Drosophila melanogaster: one gene and its partners. The protein of the gene in region 1 interacts with the protein of each later gene in a biochemical or structural test. Each region holds a gene or a part of one and is shown in the gene's direction. Other genes may lie near its edges.

The links.
Region 2: the proteins of E2f1 (region 1) and Rbf form a complex in vitro, tested with the Drosophila melanogaster proteins (one study listed by BioGRID).
Region 3: the proteins of E2f1 (region 1) and slmb form a complex in vitro, tested with the Drosophila melanogaster proteins (one study listed by BioGRID).

The regions. Positions count from the first base shown.
Region 1 is NT_033777.3:21,630,070-21,635,023, reverse strand, and holds the start of E2f1 (E2F transcription factor 1), read left to right. Parts: upstream 1-1,950; 5' UTR 1,951-2,100; exon of another isoform or gene 2,101-2,891; intron 2,892-4,954. UniProt on the Drosophila melanogaster protein: Transcriptional activator that binds to E2f sites. Required for wild-type growth in mitotic and polytene tissues, Contributes to the expression of replication genes at the G1-S transition and Cyclin E.
Region 2 is NC_004354.4:796,498-803,432, reverse strand, and holds Rbf (Retinoblastoma-family protein), read left to right. Parts: upstream 1-1,953; 5' UTR 1,954-2,647; coding exon 2,648-2,836; intron 2,837-2,915; coding exon 2,916-3,055; intron 3,056-3,116; coding exon 3,117-3,305; intron 3,306-3,367; coding exon 3,368-3,722; intron 3,723-3,785; coding exon 3,786-4,117; intron 4,118-4,419; coding exon 4,420-5,155; intron 5,156-5,290; coding exon 5,291-5,671; intron 5,672-5,740; coding exon 5,741-5,956; 3' UTR 5,957-6,343; downstream 6,344-6,935. Other genes in the region: CG13359 (uncharacterized protein), read left to right, coding at 7-1,488.
Region 3 is NT_033777.3:21,124,390-21,129,345, reverse strand, and holds the start of slmb (supernumerary limbs), read left to right. Parts: upstream 1-1,860; 5' UTR 1,861-2,351; coding exon 2,352-2,408; intron 2,409-3,961; coding exon 3,962-4,184; intron 4,185-4,956. Other genes in the region: Obp93a (Odorant-binding protein 93a), read left to right, coding at 1-142, 197-396; CG5793 (uncharacterized protein), read right to left, coding at 453-794, 853-999, 1,129-1,225, 1,292-1,368.

The DNA.
Region 1 (4,954 bases):
AGTACAAAAGTCCACCCAAGGATCGTGGGAAGTTCCCGCTTGCGCTCTTCTATCTGGTAGGCGAAAAAAAAAAACCATCTTGCAGAAAATGGTTGAAAAAAAATCAAGCATAGAGATACTCTAATTGCATATGTGTTGGGCAAGGGATGGGAAGGGGGAAGGGGCAGGCGCAGGGGCCAAAGTTCTTCCTCTCTTTCTGCGTCCGTGAGGGGTGATTCTCGCCCCTCTTCTTCATATTCGTATTCTCATTCTTCTTCTTCTTCTTCTTGTCTGCCGGTCTGGCTTATGGGAAATGTGAAAAAAATCACACTCACGGATCTGTGAGTGTCCTCGCCTCAGCAACCCACCCAAGAGAAACCCAAAGGATAACAGCCTCGAATCCAAAAAAAAAAACTGCCTAAAAAGTTAATAGAAATCGAAAACTGGAAAGGAGATTACATTTCTGGTAGGAGGGGGGGGGGATGTTTCTCAGTTACTGGGCTTGGGATTATGGGAATGGGAAACACTGCGCAGATCGCCTGGCAAGTTGTACTGATTTGCGAGATACATTTGTGCACACAAAACCAGGAATGCAAATGGCAGCGGGCATGAGTTGTAAATATTTAATCAGATTGTTGTTAGAAAAAGTGACATGGTAGCGATTTTGGGATATTTATGAGTACAAACTTTGCATTATTCCAGAATGTATGAGTATTGTTTGTTTAGTAGAAAGTGCTTTTGCACTAAAGTAGATTAATAGTGGAATAACAAATAATATAAGAATGGAAAGTCAAATGTTTGAGCAGGTTTCTTTAATCAGGTCAGTTGCTCAGCAAATAGGTGAATTTTTACACTTCAGTTAGTATTTACTTAATTAAATACTAACTTTTCTCTATAAAGTTGCAAATCTTTAAGGTATATTATATGATTAAGCTGTGAGCTGTGAGATGAGCATACTTGGCTTTAATCTCAGGCATAATTTTTATGATACGTAGAAATTAATAGATTTGTGTGCGACAGTGTCGAGTTATGCGATAGACCCATTTAATGCCTATTTCCGGCCTTAAAAAGTGTACCCCTTGTTGATGGGGCGCTGAAAATCGGCAACGCTGCTGTGCTGCTGCAACTACAACAATGTCGTCACTGCAACGCAATGCAACACTTGGCACACAACTGATAAAGATAAAGAAGATGGTGAAGCGGTTGGTTGAGCGGGAGGGGAAAGGTTCTCTGCCGGCGTCGCTGTTGATGTGGGTGCGGTAACAGCGACGTCGCCACTTCCGTCTGAGCGATTTTTAGCCGATTTGTAGCCGGCAAGCCGAAGAGAGCGAAAAGGGTTGGGGGCCAAAAGCAAAAGCCGCTCTCACCGAACATTCGAGTCTGGCTTCCACATGCCACATGTGAAGAGTAGGAAGCGGCGCCACTCACATTCCACCCTCTTGCGCTTTCGCTTTCCGCCCCCTTCTCCACATTCGTTCTCTCTCGTGCTCAGCTGTTGCCGCTAATTCGCTGCAATTAGCGTGGTTCTCTTAGCTTCAAGCATTAGTTTTTATATCAACAGAATTTTAAAATTAAAAACTTCAAATAAAACTTGGACCAAAGATTTAATTAAAAGCTGATATTAGGTAAAATAATGTAGCATTTAAAAAACAATTCAGGAAGTGATTAACAGCGCTGTTATAGGTATTTAACTTCGCTTATAAATAATTATATTTTTCTTTTAACACTCAAATGTATTTATTCATTGCAAAATATTAATAACCCAAAATATTCGTTCCCTTTTGAATTGACAACCTATCGTAATATCGAATAGCTATCGTTTGATCAGTTTTGTCTCCACTCAATTTACGATCCACTCTCTTCTGCTCTCACTCTCTCGTGCCGCGAGCGCTCAGCTGCTGACGCCTCAAATTCGCCGCTACAAGAGACGCCGTGCGTTTTGTGGCTCGTTGCTTGTTCTGTCGATTCGCCGCGTTCAGTGTTGTTGTCGCGTCGTGACGCTGCTGTTGCCGCTGCCGCCCCCACACACATGTGCGAGCAGAAAACACGTTACGAGGGGAAAATCGACGGAAAAATCCGAAAAAAAATAGAAAAGCTAACTGAAAAGAGTACAAGACTGAGGTATTGATAAGTTAATGTGGTTTAATACACTAATTAAGCGTAAGTGGCCGGTATTAAAAGTGCCATTACGGTGGTGCTTACGTTTTCTCCGTCTGACGTAAGACGACTCCCTCTCTCGCTCTCTCTCTCTATCTCGTGTCTCTCCGATTCTCTTTCTCCGCGTGTGGATTGCGTTTTGCCGGCGACGGCGACTCCAAAAAAGACACGGCACAACACACTTTGTGGCCCAAGTTCAGTTCGCTTTTCGTCGCCAGTCCGCAAAAATGTGAAAATGGAAAACTGAGAGAAAAACCAAAAAGCCGCAAAAGACTGCCTCTGCAAGTAAAAGATTCAAGTCGCTGAGTAGCAATAGCAAATGCTCTAAAAAATCAAGAATAAAATAAAATAAAAGTGCGGGCGTGTAACAATTATGTGATATCTACAACAAATGCTCGAACTGCTGACGTCACGCACAGAATCGTAGAATATATAGAGAATAAAGAAGAGAAACGAAAACGTCGCGTAGTAAAGTTAAAAGTTCCCACACCACCGACGTACTCACACTCGCACACACACAGACTGAGTCAAACGAGTAAGAAGCAGCAGCACATTATACGTGGAATACAAAAAGTAACCGACAGAAAAGGCAAAACGCCCGCAAAAAAATGAAAAATTTGCAAATATGAAACGTGTGTGATATTCAAAAAGAGCAAGAAGAAGCAGGCGGCGGTGGAAAAAAAAGCAGAGCAATTTGTTGTGGTTGCGTGTGATATATAGAAAGCAAGTAAAACCAACAAAAATTCCATTTTTAGGTGCGTATTCAAACAAGACAAAAAAAAAGAAGCAAAGGGAGTTTCCACCTCACCTTTGATGATCAATTAATCATTCAATTTTGGGCTAAGCCCTCTAATAACCTCCAAAACCGATACGGTGAATAGCAGTCATTCGCTCACTCATTCAATCCCCCAACGCTCCAGTTTTCAGAGATAACGAATCGAAAATTCGGAGTCCATCAGTTTTTATTTCTATTTGCCCAAAGTCGGCGGCGATTTCTTTATGGCGCCCCCCAGATTAACATTTTACTAGATGTTAAGACAACAGTGCAGGTAACAGTTTGAAGAACTCGTGGTTTTTCTTCGAAGATATGGACAAAAATACATTTCAAGTTAAAATTAATTGTGTAAAACCGTCCAGCACAATATTAGCCAACTAACTGGCGTTTTTGTGTTGACGTGGATACTGAGGAATGCAAAATTAAAGCTGCACTGCAGTCATAAATATCAACTGAAATGTTCAATAGACATGTAATAATTAGGTAATGTGTTTGTTTTACAAATTAAAGTGATCTAAATGTTTTAAAATCTCAGATCATTTGTCTCTTTAATATTTTCTGTGGTCTTGAATTTGCCGGTTACTTCTACCAGTTTCGTCGGGTTAATTGGACTTGCATCAACAGTTTTCCGCTTTAATCTGTGCATGTACTTGACGACTGCACCACATAGTGTGTACATTATGTGTGGCCCCTGTTATCAGGCCTTGTGAGTACACAATATTCGATTGGCTCTAAATGCGTCATCGCGTAAATGGCCAGGCGAAATGAAGTTTTGTACATTATGTACAAAATTTTGGTGTATGAAACGCAAAGGGGACTTCCCTGGAATTCATTCTGCTTTCCTTGCCGGCATTGATATTCCACACCCACGCAATAATTTTTCCTTTCCCGGGCTTTCATTATGTTTGCAGTTTTCTGTGGGCGAAATATTTTGCGACGCATTTTGTGCGCCTCTCCCTGGACAAAAAGCCGCCTTCTCTTTTACTCGTTCTCTTTTTCTTGACTTGGCCAGTTGGCAATTATTTTTGGCTTTCTCAAACGAAAAAAGCTAAGGCGAGGCTTACAGCCGTTTTATTTTATATTACTATTACCTTATTTCATTTCTGTAAGTGTGCAATTAAGTGGCTGCCTTCTGTCTCGGTCCTTGCGGTTCATAAGAAAGAAGCCAAGTGTGTGTAATTGACCAAATGAAATAAAGATGATAGAGAAAATAAAACCGGCTAGAAAAAAGCATCCATGGGACCAACAACAACAAAAAGATGAAGAGAGATGTTCCATGTGGATTGTGTCTGTGAGTAACAGCTGTTATTCGGATTCAGGCCGGCTTTTACTCTCAGTCTCTTTTCCCTAGCAGCATCCCCCTCCAACACACACACACACCGTGGGAGACTCTCTCTTTCTCTCTCTGGACTGCCGCTTAATACACAAAATTCGTGTTCTTCCTCTTTTTCTGGCTTTTGATTCACTTTTTTCCCTCTATTGCAATTGTTGTTGCTTAACACCTTGCACACTCGCACATTATTTATTTGTATTTATTTCACTTGTCCCTGCCTTTTTACTGCGCATGCAAAATGATGTGCAAAAAGAAAGCGAAACTTTTTATTAGCTCTTGGTATCTGTGTGGGTGTTAGTGAGCATGCATGTACATACATATGTATGTTTTCGTGTGCTTGTGCTTATGCCTGTGTGTGCGTGAGTCTGCATACATAACAACGTATATAATTAATAGCCATGTAAATGCATGATCTTCATAATTAATAACGGTAAATTGGCATGCCAGAGGAATACAGTTATGGCTGCAAATTAAATACCAGCCATTAGTTGCATTCGAATTGGGATTTTAGCTAATATTTTATTAATTAGTGAATTGAGATTTCATGTCTGCAATTGGGCATATTTATTATTCGGGGGCAGACTAAATTTAAGTTATAAAGAGTAAAGATCCGTTAATTTAACAATCTTCACTACACCTTGCGGCCGGTTATTGTTGCTATACTAATTCGAAATTAACACGGAGAACGTGAGAGCAGAGTAGTGGCAGTG
Region 2 (6,935 bases), on another chromosome or scaffold:
TTAGAAATGAAATGCTCTGCATCTTTTAATGCCCTCTGCGACGTGGGAACGCCGCGTCCGAACTTGCAGCGGTTAATTCCCTATGTCGAGCCGCAACAGGACGACGAGGAGGATATGGTAGTGTGGTGCCGGTCAAATCTGGATTTGGCCTGCTCGCTCAGCGAGATGCGCATACGCTGTCCAGAGCACTTCGATGTCGCAACCGTCGTGGGGGTAAATTCGCATACCGGAAAACTAATCACCCACTTTAATCACCGGAAACTGGGGGATGTGGACCTGGCGCCTCACGCGTTGCTTAGCCGGCGAGACAAGTTCATGGACATTTGCCAGAAACAAGTAATGACGAGTCAGGGCTGCTTGGCGTCAGAGGGAACACCAATCCCCGCCGACCTGGAGGTCACTTGGCAGAGTCATAGCATCATTGACTGCCTTGCTCTCCGCAAGGTGCGTGCAGAGATGAATTTAGCTGATCAGAAGGCGGCCAAGAATCTTGTGGATCGCGTTGAGGTGCACCACAAGACTTTGCAGACGGAGGAGGCGGAGCGAAGGAAATTGATTATTGACAAGGCAAATTCTGCGAGGAACTTGACTATTGACAAGGCAAACTCTGCGAGGATCTTGGCTATTGACAAGGCAACCTCCGCTAGGAAATTGACTATTGACAACTCAACCTCCGCGGGGACATTGACTATAGACAAGGCAACCAACGCGAGGAAATTGACTATTGACAAGGGAACCTCCGCGAGGAAATTGACTATTGACAAGGCAACCTCCGCGAGGAAATTGACTATTGACAAGGCAACCTCCGCGAGGAAAATGACTATTGACAAGGCAAAATCCACGAGGAACTTGACCATTGACAATGCAACCTCCGCGAGGAAATTGACTATTGAGAAGGCAACCTCCGCGAGGAAAATGACTATTGACAAGGCAAAATCCACGAGGAACTTGACCATTGACAATGCAACCTCCGCGAGGAAATTGACTATTGAGAAGGCAACCTCCGCGAGACGTTTCTCTAGACCAAAAAGATATGTCAGCGGGTATATTTCCAAAAGAAAATCGATCGGAAAAACGGAGTCTTTGTCGCGCGGTGCATACATCCCCGATCCTGAGCTCAACCGCGCGATAGCCAAGTACGGTGTGTCTGCTAGTCAACCGTTCAAAAGACAGCATTGCCTTGTGCTGGAGAAGCATCCCGACAGAACCCAGATCCCGAACTCCAGAACCAACACCAGTGGCTGTAAGTCCGACGGCTCTTCAACACCCATTTGGAGAAGTGCTAGAACTGGTGCGGATCAGAATACGCAGGCAGAGAGTTCTGACTCTTTCAATTCCTCCAATTCCTTCGAGAGCTCCAGTCTGGCCAGCGATTCTCAAGAAAACCACGAGCTGTCCACGGCGGCAGGTCTGACGGCGGCCTTTATGCGGCGACACATGCTATTCCACCTCCTGGCCAGGAGGTTCAGAAGACGGTATCTACGTTAGCCACGTCGTAGCTCGGGTCGTATGTGCTGCGACAGCAAGTTCTCTAAATTGTATAGTGTATATGTATGTATGTTAGTAGCTGAATCGCGAAGAATTCCCGCGAATTTCCATAAAGTTCAAAGCAGTATTTAAATTTGCGGCTATCGATTACAACTAGCTATATCGCCGATGTGCAATGCTCTTGAACGCTAACCAACACTGTCAGTTTACCGCACACATGCAAATAGCATTGTGCATTGCAAATAAATTATATGTGTACACATATTTTTGTCAATTATTTCGTTCTAATTCATTTTAGGGTCCCCCAATTTAGGTATGTATGCAACACGACATACTGCTTGCAGTCACTGCATAACTCGCCAAGCACTGTAGTAATACCACCCCACCACGTTTAAACTGGCCGAATGCGCGCGTCGGTGTGACCGCATGGCTTTGCTGGCGAAATACCGGCCGCCCAACTAAAAATCCATTAACTTGTATTAACGTGTCAGACTCTGACTATGCAATCGCAATTGCAAAATCTTTAAGTAGTGGCAATAAATTAGTTTTCCTTCTGCACAAGTCCATCCCTAGGGCCACATCGTCCGCGCAGCCCTAGAAGTGGATAGTTCGAACGCGGAGTGGATCACACGCACCTGCCCGCCGCAACTAGTCAAGTTTCCCGCGTTTTCCATGGCGATTAAGTTGTGAAATAGTTATTTTGTTAATGTGTTTTAACCAACAACCGTGGCCGTGGTGTGGTCCTGGCTAATCGCAGCATCCCAGCGCTGTTTGTTCTGTCCCCTCGCCTGCTCTTTTGTTGTGTTCCTCAGAAAAGGGTGTATCGCGAACACACACACACGCGACAAACACTCGCACACAAACACACACGCCCAAATCATTTCGGCGGGAAACTTCATTATTTCTGTAATTAAGTGTAAGCTCTCGCAGTTACATGTCCGCGAGGAGCGCGGCGGCAAGCGCAGCATACACCGGCAGCCACTAGGCGCCAGGCCACTAGACGTAAACAGCGGCGCCAGGCCCGCAACGCCCCGGTTAGCCGGCTAGCTCCAATTCAGGCGCCTCCGTCTCCGATTTCCGACTCCAGGCTGTCGCCAGAAGCAGCGGCCGCCGCTGCAAGCATACGCAATCAGCCGGGACAGAGACATCATTCGCAGACATGAGCGAGCCTGACCCGCAGGAACTGGGAGCTGAGGTGGTCAGCGGATTGGTGGCGACCAGCGACGACCGCCTGGAGATGATCAACGCCGAGTACACGAACCTATGCCGGGATCTAAACATGGATCGGCAGACAGAGCTGCAGGGCTACGAGACGTACTTAGAGGTGTCCCAGAGGTGCTCCATGGAGGTGAGCTTCGAAGTGGCAGCAGTAGCCTCCAACCTAACGTCCTTTCTTTCATTCTTTCTGTGCATTGCCTGCCTAAAAGGGCACAGCCAGCCACTGGATGTGCTGCGCCATTTACACGGCCTGCCGAAGAACCAGCACACCCACGGTGACTGGCCAGAATGCAGTGGTCAAGGGTAATTGTGTGTCCTTAAACAATTTGCTGCGCTGCTGCAAGATGAGGTGGGTTGCCGTTTATGCCTGCAGTTTCACACCTAACCATTTCCACAATCCCCACCCACAGCATCTACGAGTTCAAGACCAAAATTAAGCAGTGGTGCGACATGGCCAACCTGCCTCAGGAGTTTGTCAACGAGATTGAGGATCTGGACCGCAAGTTCAGCATTACATTCATGCTGCACAAGCGTTTCCGCATTATTATGGACATGATCTTCTCGTGCCCGCCCAACGAGAAGAAGCACTCCAAGTACATGTGCGTATATCATCATGTCAGCCTGACCCCGTGTATATAAAAAGCTTCCCTCTTTGGAACAGTTCTCTGCATGGCAACCACGCCCACGGAAAGTGCTCGTACATCAAGCTGGACGACATCTGCTGGCGCCTGTTTCTCTGCGCCAAGAACCAGAAGCCGAGCAACACCGTGGACCTGGTGACATCCTACAATCTGATGATTTGCTGCATAGACCTGATATACAACAATGTGCTGGCCGAGAAGCGCACCGATCTCATCAACCCCAAATTCGAGGGCCTGCCGAGCAACTGGACGGAGCTGGACTTTCGTCACAATCCGCACTGCATTTTGTCCAACTTCTGTGACATGACCGAGGAGGCTAAAGCCATGAAGGCCACCACTTTCCGCCAGATCATGTCGAGCTTCTTTCAGGCTTCGGTAGGAGTGCCGTTTCGGATTTCCATTAAAACAATTAATTTGTTCTATTTTCATTTCGACCAGACCATCTACGGCAACAAGGACACTATGTTAGGCCTATTGGCTAACGAAAACTTCGAGCGCAACCTAAAGTCCCTCAACATCAGCTACGAGCAGTACGTCCTCAGCGTCGGCGAATTCGACGAACGCATTCTGAGTGCCTACGATGCGGGGGAACACACTGCCCTCAACGACCAGTCCCTGCGTCCGCCGGTTACTCCGCTTACCCGCAAGCAAGATCTGCCTGCGCAGCCCGCGATGGCTGGCGATAAATTTGAGCCCGTCCGCAACGCCACTAACAACGTGAAGCAGCTGAGCGCCTTCGGACGGATCACAGAACCCACGGACTTTGTCAAGTGAGTTGCCGGCTGGCCTTGTATTTGGGTTGGGTGTCGAGTGTTCCTAACTATCATTCAAAACCTGTGAGAGAGAAAAGGCTTATCTCTATGTCCAAATGGCTGAAAGTCGTTGGCGTCGTGTAAACAAAACTCATGTTTATTTGATTGCTTTATAAATCGTAGGAAATATCGAATATCGAATTTCGTTAGCCGAAGCACACATCCATAGAAATTTCTGTTGATGTAAGAAGAATCGATTAGATTAAATCCGGGATTGATTTCTATAGCTCATGTTTTGATATCGCCCTGTCTTTATCCAGGCAAGCTGGCGAAGAGGTAATAGCCAAGCTGCTTAGCATCATCGAGGAGATCGAGCAGAAATTCCTCGCCAAGTACCCGTCAACGGAGGCGAAGAGTCGCTTCCAACTAGCGAAGTCCTTCTTCTTCTACCTGCTCGACCAGATCCTGCAGGCGGAAATTCGGAACAAGCCCGACATCGATCTCAAGCGACTGCTGGTGCAGAAGGTCTCCCTGGTCATCTTTAACATCACGCTGATGGCCTGCTGCGTGGAGCTGGTGCTGGAGGCCTACAAAACGGAGCTCAAGTTCCCGTGGGTGCTCGACTGTTTCAGTATTAGCGCGTTCGAGTTCCAAAAGATCATCGAGATCGTGGTGCGGCACGGCTCGCACGAAGGCTGTTTGAACCGGTCGCTGATAAAGCACCTTAACTCCATCGAGGAGACGTGTCTGGAGCGGCTGGCCTGGGCGAGGAACTCGACCGTCTGGGAAATGATCGCCTCCGCCCAACTGCCGTTGCCCACGTGGCTCATGGTTAACCTCGACCGCGCCGCCGGCCCCTTGCAGATATTCCTGCGCAAGGTGTACCTGCTTGGCTGGTTGCGCATCCAGAAGCTGTGCTCGGAGCTGTCACTGTGCGAGAAGACGCCCGAGAGCATCTGGCACATCTTTGAGCACTCGATCACCCACGAGACGGAATTGATGAAGGACCGCCACCTCGATCAAAATATTATGTGTGCAATATATATCTACATAAGAGTGAGTAGCACATCCACATTCTATCTCTGTCCGATTCGCTGGCATACATTTTGAAATGCACATAATCAGATGCATTCGTCCGTGTGCAGCTGAAGACCCACTTATAACATCCATGCAACTCCTTACAACCCGCAGGTAAAGCGAATGGAGGACCCCAAGTTCAGTGACATTATGCGGGCATATCGCAACCAGCCGCAGGCGGTGAACAGCGTCTACCGCGAGGTGTTCATCGACATCAACGAGGACGGGGAGCCAAAGGTGAAGGACATCATTCACTTTTACAACCACACTTACGTGCCGCTGATGCGGCAGTTCGTCATCGACTACCTAAACGTAACTCCGGACGTGAGTGGCCGGGCTTCGGATCTACAGCTCTCCCCGCATCCGAAGGAACGGGCCGCCCAGCCCAAGAAGGTAACCCAGAGCCACTCGCTGTTCGTGTCGCAGATGTCCAAGAACGAGATACAGCAGTCGCCCAACCAGATGGTCTACAGTTTTTGCCGCAGCCCCGCCAAGGTAAATATTTCGGAGTTGCGTCCACCTCCTCAGCTATAACATCGATTAATCCGCTTGCTATACCCGCAGGACCTTCAGGCTATGAACGAAAAGGTACGCGGCGGCAAGCGCATGCTGAGCTTTGGCGACGAGCCCGGACTAGGTACAATGGCAGAGACGAAGCGCTCGAAAATCAGCCAGGTCAAGGCCGTCATGGACGACCCTGAACTGCAGTCAGCCGAGCAGCAGACTGCTGTTACCACGGAAGGTTGCGTAGGGGGCGAAGGAGGAGAACACGAGACATAGACACGGGGCTTATGGGGGCAGACTAGACTTAAGGCAAGAACTAAAAATTCGGCGCAGAAGGCCACACACTGGCCCCTCCGGCGCACGTTCGACTATTTTATGATTGTTTTTTTTTAAATATTAAAACTTAAATTGACATTTTAACTTAATTTCAACAAACTATTTTAGCACATCTTTTAATTTTGCTCAACGCCAGCCAACCATATAATTCATATGCTAACCCAATACTTTGAAATAGTTGTACTAAATACTTGATCACCACACACACACACATCCATCGGTCGCGACTCCCCGCGATTTAAAAATCACTAACAAAAAAACAAATCAAATTAATGCAATCCACATTATATATAAAAGCTTATATACAAATATACTTTTTACAAATTGATGTTAATTGTATTTATTTAAACATTTTCGTAGTCGATCTACGTCGTCGTACAAAGGATGGGATGTTTAAAATCGTAATTTCTCTGGTCGAAATTGCCACCTTTACAAGTTTCAGGCACCAGGCGAACAGAAACAGTAACAGGTGCTAGCTGGCCGCTCAAATTAACTAAAACAGCTGATCCTTTTCAAGATGGCTGCGCCTTACGCTTTTCCAGTCAGCCCATTCGACCAATAGGAAGCCAAAGATGGGGAGAAACCGTTAGTTACTTTATGATGTCTGCCCTATGTGGCAATTTTTGTTTGCCTGGTGTTCAGCCACTGAGAATTCACAAATTTTTGACAAAATTTACGACGGGGCAACATTTTTCGCAGACAACTGTCGGGTCCCAGACACTAGGCCAACAGAATCCCTAGCAAGCTGCAGCTGGCAGCCCTTTCGATCTTTCCAGTTACCAATTGACCAATAGGAAAGCAGCACAACCGTTAATTCGGAACAGAGCGCACACCAGTGATGAGCAGCCGAGTTGTTCTTGATGTTCGTGTCACGAATGAGCAAGATAGGCACGAAAGTCCCTTGTTACATGGGTGGATG
Region 3 (4,956 bases), 510 kb from region 1:
TCCTTCAGGACCAATGGATTCTTGTTGAGCAATGGCACTGTTAATACCCAGGCATTGCAGAAGAGCTATCAGCAACGCTACAAAAACGATCCGAATATGTCGCAACTGATGTTGAAGAGCCTCAATAGTTGCACGGACTACGGTGAGTTAGCATACGAAAGTTTTTTTCTACTTAATAATGGTTAATTCTAAATAGCTAGGAAGCGGGTGCAGGAGTTCCAATGGATGCCCAAGAAGGGCGACTGCGACTTCTATCCTGCCACCTTGCTGGCCTGCGTCATGGAAAAGGTCTACATCAACTGCCCGACCAGCAAATGGAAAAACACCAGCGATTGCACAGCGATGTGGAAATATTTGGTTGCCTGTGATGATGTGGCCAGTAATAAGAAGAAATAGCCATTGCACATATCCAATTATATCCGAATATAGCATCAAAATTAAATTCTTCACTTTTATTCAGCCTCCACTTGGAAGGTCAATTTAGCGAGATCGGCCATTCCACACTGAATTACATCGCCTGCCTTGAACGCATCGGCACCATTGGGCGTTCCGGTAAGGATCAGATCGTTGGCCTCCAGGGTCATGTACTTGGACACGTAGGAAATGATGTCGGGCACCTTGAATATTAAGTCTGCAGTGCACCCGTTTTGCTTAAGGTCTCCATTGACGGTGAGCCAAAGCGGCAAGTTGTGCGGGTCCGTCACTTTTTCGATGGGTATAAACTGGGACACGGGCGTAGAAGTATCAAATCCCTTGCCCAAGGTCCACGGATGACCGGCCGCCCGAGCTGGTCCCTGAAATTGATTATTGATTACAACAATGGCTCTTGATTGAGTGCATCCATCTTCTTACCAAATTGCACTGGGCAGTTAGATCCAAAGCCAGGCAGTATCCTGCCACATAGCTCATGGCATCTGCCTTGGATACGTTCTTGCAGGGCTTTCCAATCACCACGCCTAGTTCCACTTCATATGCCACCTTGGTAAAGACTTTTGGTAACTGGGGGAATACAAAGTTTAAATCACAAGAGGGATTTTCAATTTCCATTCGTTTACTCTCCAGTTTATGGACTTTTGCTATCTTGCTACTATCTTAATGTTATCTTAATTAATTCTCTGTAGAACTCACCACAATGGGCTGACCCTCCTGGAGGTACGAAGATGTGGGCTTGAGGAAGACGAGCGGCTCCTTGGGCACGGGAACGTTCCTGGCCAGCACAACGTCCCTGCGACGGAAGAAAGTATTCGTGGATTACCCATGCAGACCCAAGATTACTATGACACTGAGTTACATGTAATTGAGAGCCACCCCCACAATTTTCTTGCCATTGCTCAAGAAGTTGGCGGCATTTTGGTTTTGGCACGCCATCCTGAGGATTTGAGTTAGTTGCACTGTGAATTTGAAAAAAAATGTGTATTGTAGCTCGATTATGAATGCTCAAGGAAATGATTAGAATGGGAACAGCTCTGCGGTCGAATGAAAGTGAGCATTCGGCGAGCTGGACGGCACTTACTTGCGCAATATTTATTAATTTAAAAGTGGGGGGTTATCTGGAGAGTGGCCCCCCGCAACAAGTTTATCAATTAAATAACAACAGAAAACGGAGAGAGCGATCGAGAAATCAGCTGATATGGATGTGCAGAGTTGTCAGAGCTGGCAAAGTGTGTTGGGTAGCCATACAATGCTTACAATTCATAGCTCTGAAAGGGAAATAACTTAAAAACATTTCATAAATAGTTGTAATTGCAACAACCTGTTCGAAAATTTAGAGCAGAAACGACGAAATTGTGTGCTCTTGCCGTATTTTGCAGCACTGGCCCGTGGCAGTGTGACCGTTCATATATGTGACAGATATCGATAACGATAGTGCACACTCATCTTTGGCTTTGTGGTTTCGCAGTCCGTATTTGGGCGAGATCTGGTAAAAAAAAATAAAATTCTCCGTGTGAAAAGTGAGTGTCCAGTAGTTGGCGTCATCTGAATAAGCAAAAACAAACAACGTGCAAGCCGCCAGGAGCGGTGAGAATAATGACTTGCATACGACATTCGCTCAATTGGTGAGGGACCTCGGCAAGTTGAGTTTGCCTTTGCCATCGCGTTCGCCTCGCCGTTTTCGCGCATCCCGCCTGCGGTCCTACAGAAACCGAGACGAGCAAATTGTAATTTTCCTTCGACCTAAAAATTATATGAAATCGCTGGCGAAAAGCGATTTGCGAGACGTGTTAACGAAAAATCAGCGAAAAACGCTACGTGGTGCGTGAGTGCGAGTGCGACGGAAAACTCTGGCAGTGAGCGAGTGAGAGAGAAGCAAACGACGAGCCAGTAAACTCTACAAACACACAAACAACACAATGATGAAAATGGAGACTGACAAAATAATGGACGAAACCAACTCCAATGCACAGGCCGTGAGTTTTCGCTAAGTTACCTGCTTTAAGCGGGATCTCTGCCCTTCTAAATGCATTAAACACACCGATTTAAGTACATATTGCCCAAGGTGTCGCCTCAATAGACCCACACACATACACACACACAGGGGCACGCACACCTACGCCACCTATGCGTGTTGTCACACACTGGTGTGCGTGTGCTAGTGCTTTATTTTCGTATATACTACAGATTTTGCACTCGTGCACTCTATTAAATTCGGACACTGTGGCACATAGCCATCCCATGGGCTATAACCTTAAACTCTTGTGGATATTAGACATTAGCCTACTTATTCATCGCCAGCATCATCATCATCATCCCCTTTGTTCAATTATCGTTGCATATATATGTATATATCCCCAATCTCCGGTTTTCGAGTCTTAAGATTTCGTTAATTGGCCTCGAGTTTGTGTACACAATTAATAACAAACGCTGTGCACAAAGTACGGCCGTGTACATTTCAATCAGTACTTATTTAATTGTGGAGCTATATACGATAGGCGGCTTACTGAAGGTCAGTTCGCGTAAAACCATCGAGTAATGGGCCAAAAAAATCGTTTTTTATTTTCAATTTTTTCGCTCGGTTTCGCTTGAGTCATCTGGGCTTTAATTTCGCCGGATTCAAGGTGGAATCTGGTTAATGAGACAGATGGCTTCTTGGTAATAGCAGCGAAACACAAACGAGATATTATTAACTATCAATTAGAGGATATATACATTCATATTGCTTATTGCCACAAACCTTTCTCATAGCATAATCAGTGCATAGTTTAAGTAGCATCCTTCAGCTCAAAGTTACCAGGCAAAGGCAAACAACTAAAGCTTACAAAAACCATAATACGGCAATTAAATTAAGGCAACCGACCCGAATACAACTTAGTATGTTTGTACATACATATTCACAACATTTACTACAAATACTGGCAAGGTTTTCGCATTGCTGGCATTGCAGTTAACTTAATTACTCAAATCACTCACACTCGAATCGACCAATTTGTTTACTTCACGCCGATAAAATTGTTTGCCGAGATCTTTAGCGTTTAATTGATGACGTTTGATTTAATTGGGGCCCATCAATGGGTATGTCTATATATAGAATGCGCATAATGAGCATGGAAGACCAAATAAACATCGATACAATTATTATTTATAAACTGGCCGTGTGAATGATCTGTTTCTACCGCTGCGCTGCCAGTCGCGTTTTTCATTCTTCAGAAATCCGCTTTGCAAACTCTTTCGCCGCCGAATAAAAAAAAAATGAGAAAAATTACGAATAGAAAGAAACGCTCAGCGTAGTCGAAGCTAATTGCCTAATTTTAAGCCCCCAGTTTGGGTCGTCGGTAGCCTAAACTAAAGAAAAGTTGCACAACCAGCAGCTACCTACTTTTCCAGTTTTAACGATCGCCCCTTGACATCGAAGCACCCCATAACACATCATCGTCGCCCCACAACAACAACAACAACAACAAAAACGAAACAAATGCAATCTCATAATTAATTTGCTTCTTTATGCCACTTTTCACCCATACAGTTCACAACCACTATGCTGTACGACCCGGTGCGCAAGAAAGACTCATCGCCCACCTACCAAACGGAGCGGGAACTCTGCTTTCAGTACTTCACCCAGTGGAGCGAGTCGGGCCAGGTGGACTTTGTGGAGCACCTGCTGTCGCGCATGTGCCACTATCAACACGGACAGATCAATGCCTATCTCAAGCCGATGCTCCAGCGGGACTTTATCACATTGCTGCCAAGTGAGTGCCTGCCGATACACTGGCTATTGCCACCTGAGTCCAGTCGAAGTGGAGAAATAACTTCCGTTCATACAGATTGATATATTACGTTCACAACAAAGTATTAGGCCAAGACTGTAAACTGTAACATGTTAGCCAACGACTATGAAAATATGAACGTTAAAAATGCAGTTTTAGCTGTGGATTCAATAGTGGTTATTCTACAAGTGAGGAAATGATGAAGTGGTATATCATATATTAATCTGCATTTTTGAAGCTGTTAGATCTATTCCTAAATATTATAAATATTGAACGGATAAATTAGTCATGCTAAGTCATTCCAAGAACGTGATTTATAACCCAGTTGTTATCAACAGCATGCTTTGTATGGGAAGGTCAGTAATCCCAGTTGACCAATAGAGAAACCAATTCACGCAGCCGATAAGAAGGCAATAACAGCTGTTAGGGTGCGAATTCCACCATCGGAGTTTGACCGTTTTCCTCCTAAAATGAAGGCTCAGAAATGGCTCATCCACCATTAGAATCTCAGGCGAGTCTAGCAGCACAAAGCTGAGTTTAAGCCCTCGACACACGCAATTGGCGAAACAATAACAAACTGCAGGTACAAAGTTGAACAACATGAAAGGCAAGCCGCGCTCTGAACCCGGTGCGATTCGTTCCGCGTCCCCCGACAGACACCCTTGCTCCTCCGGATTGTTGCCGGGCATGTTTCCAACTGTTGGAGTGGAGAGGAGCCCAGAGGAGTAGGAGGAGGTGAAGCCAGTGGGTGGGC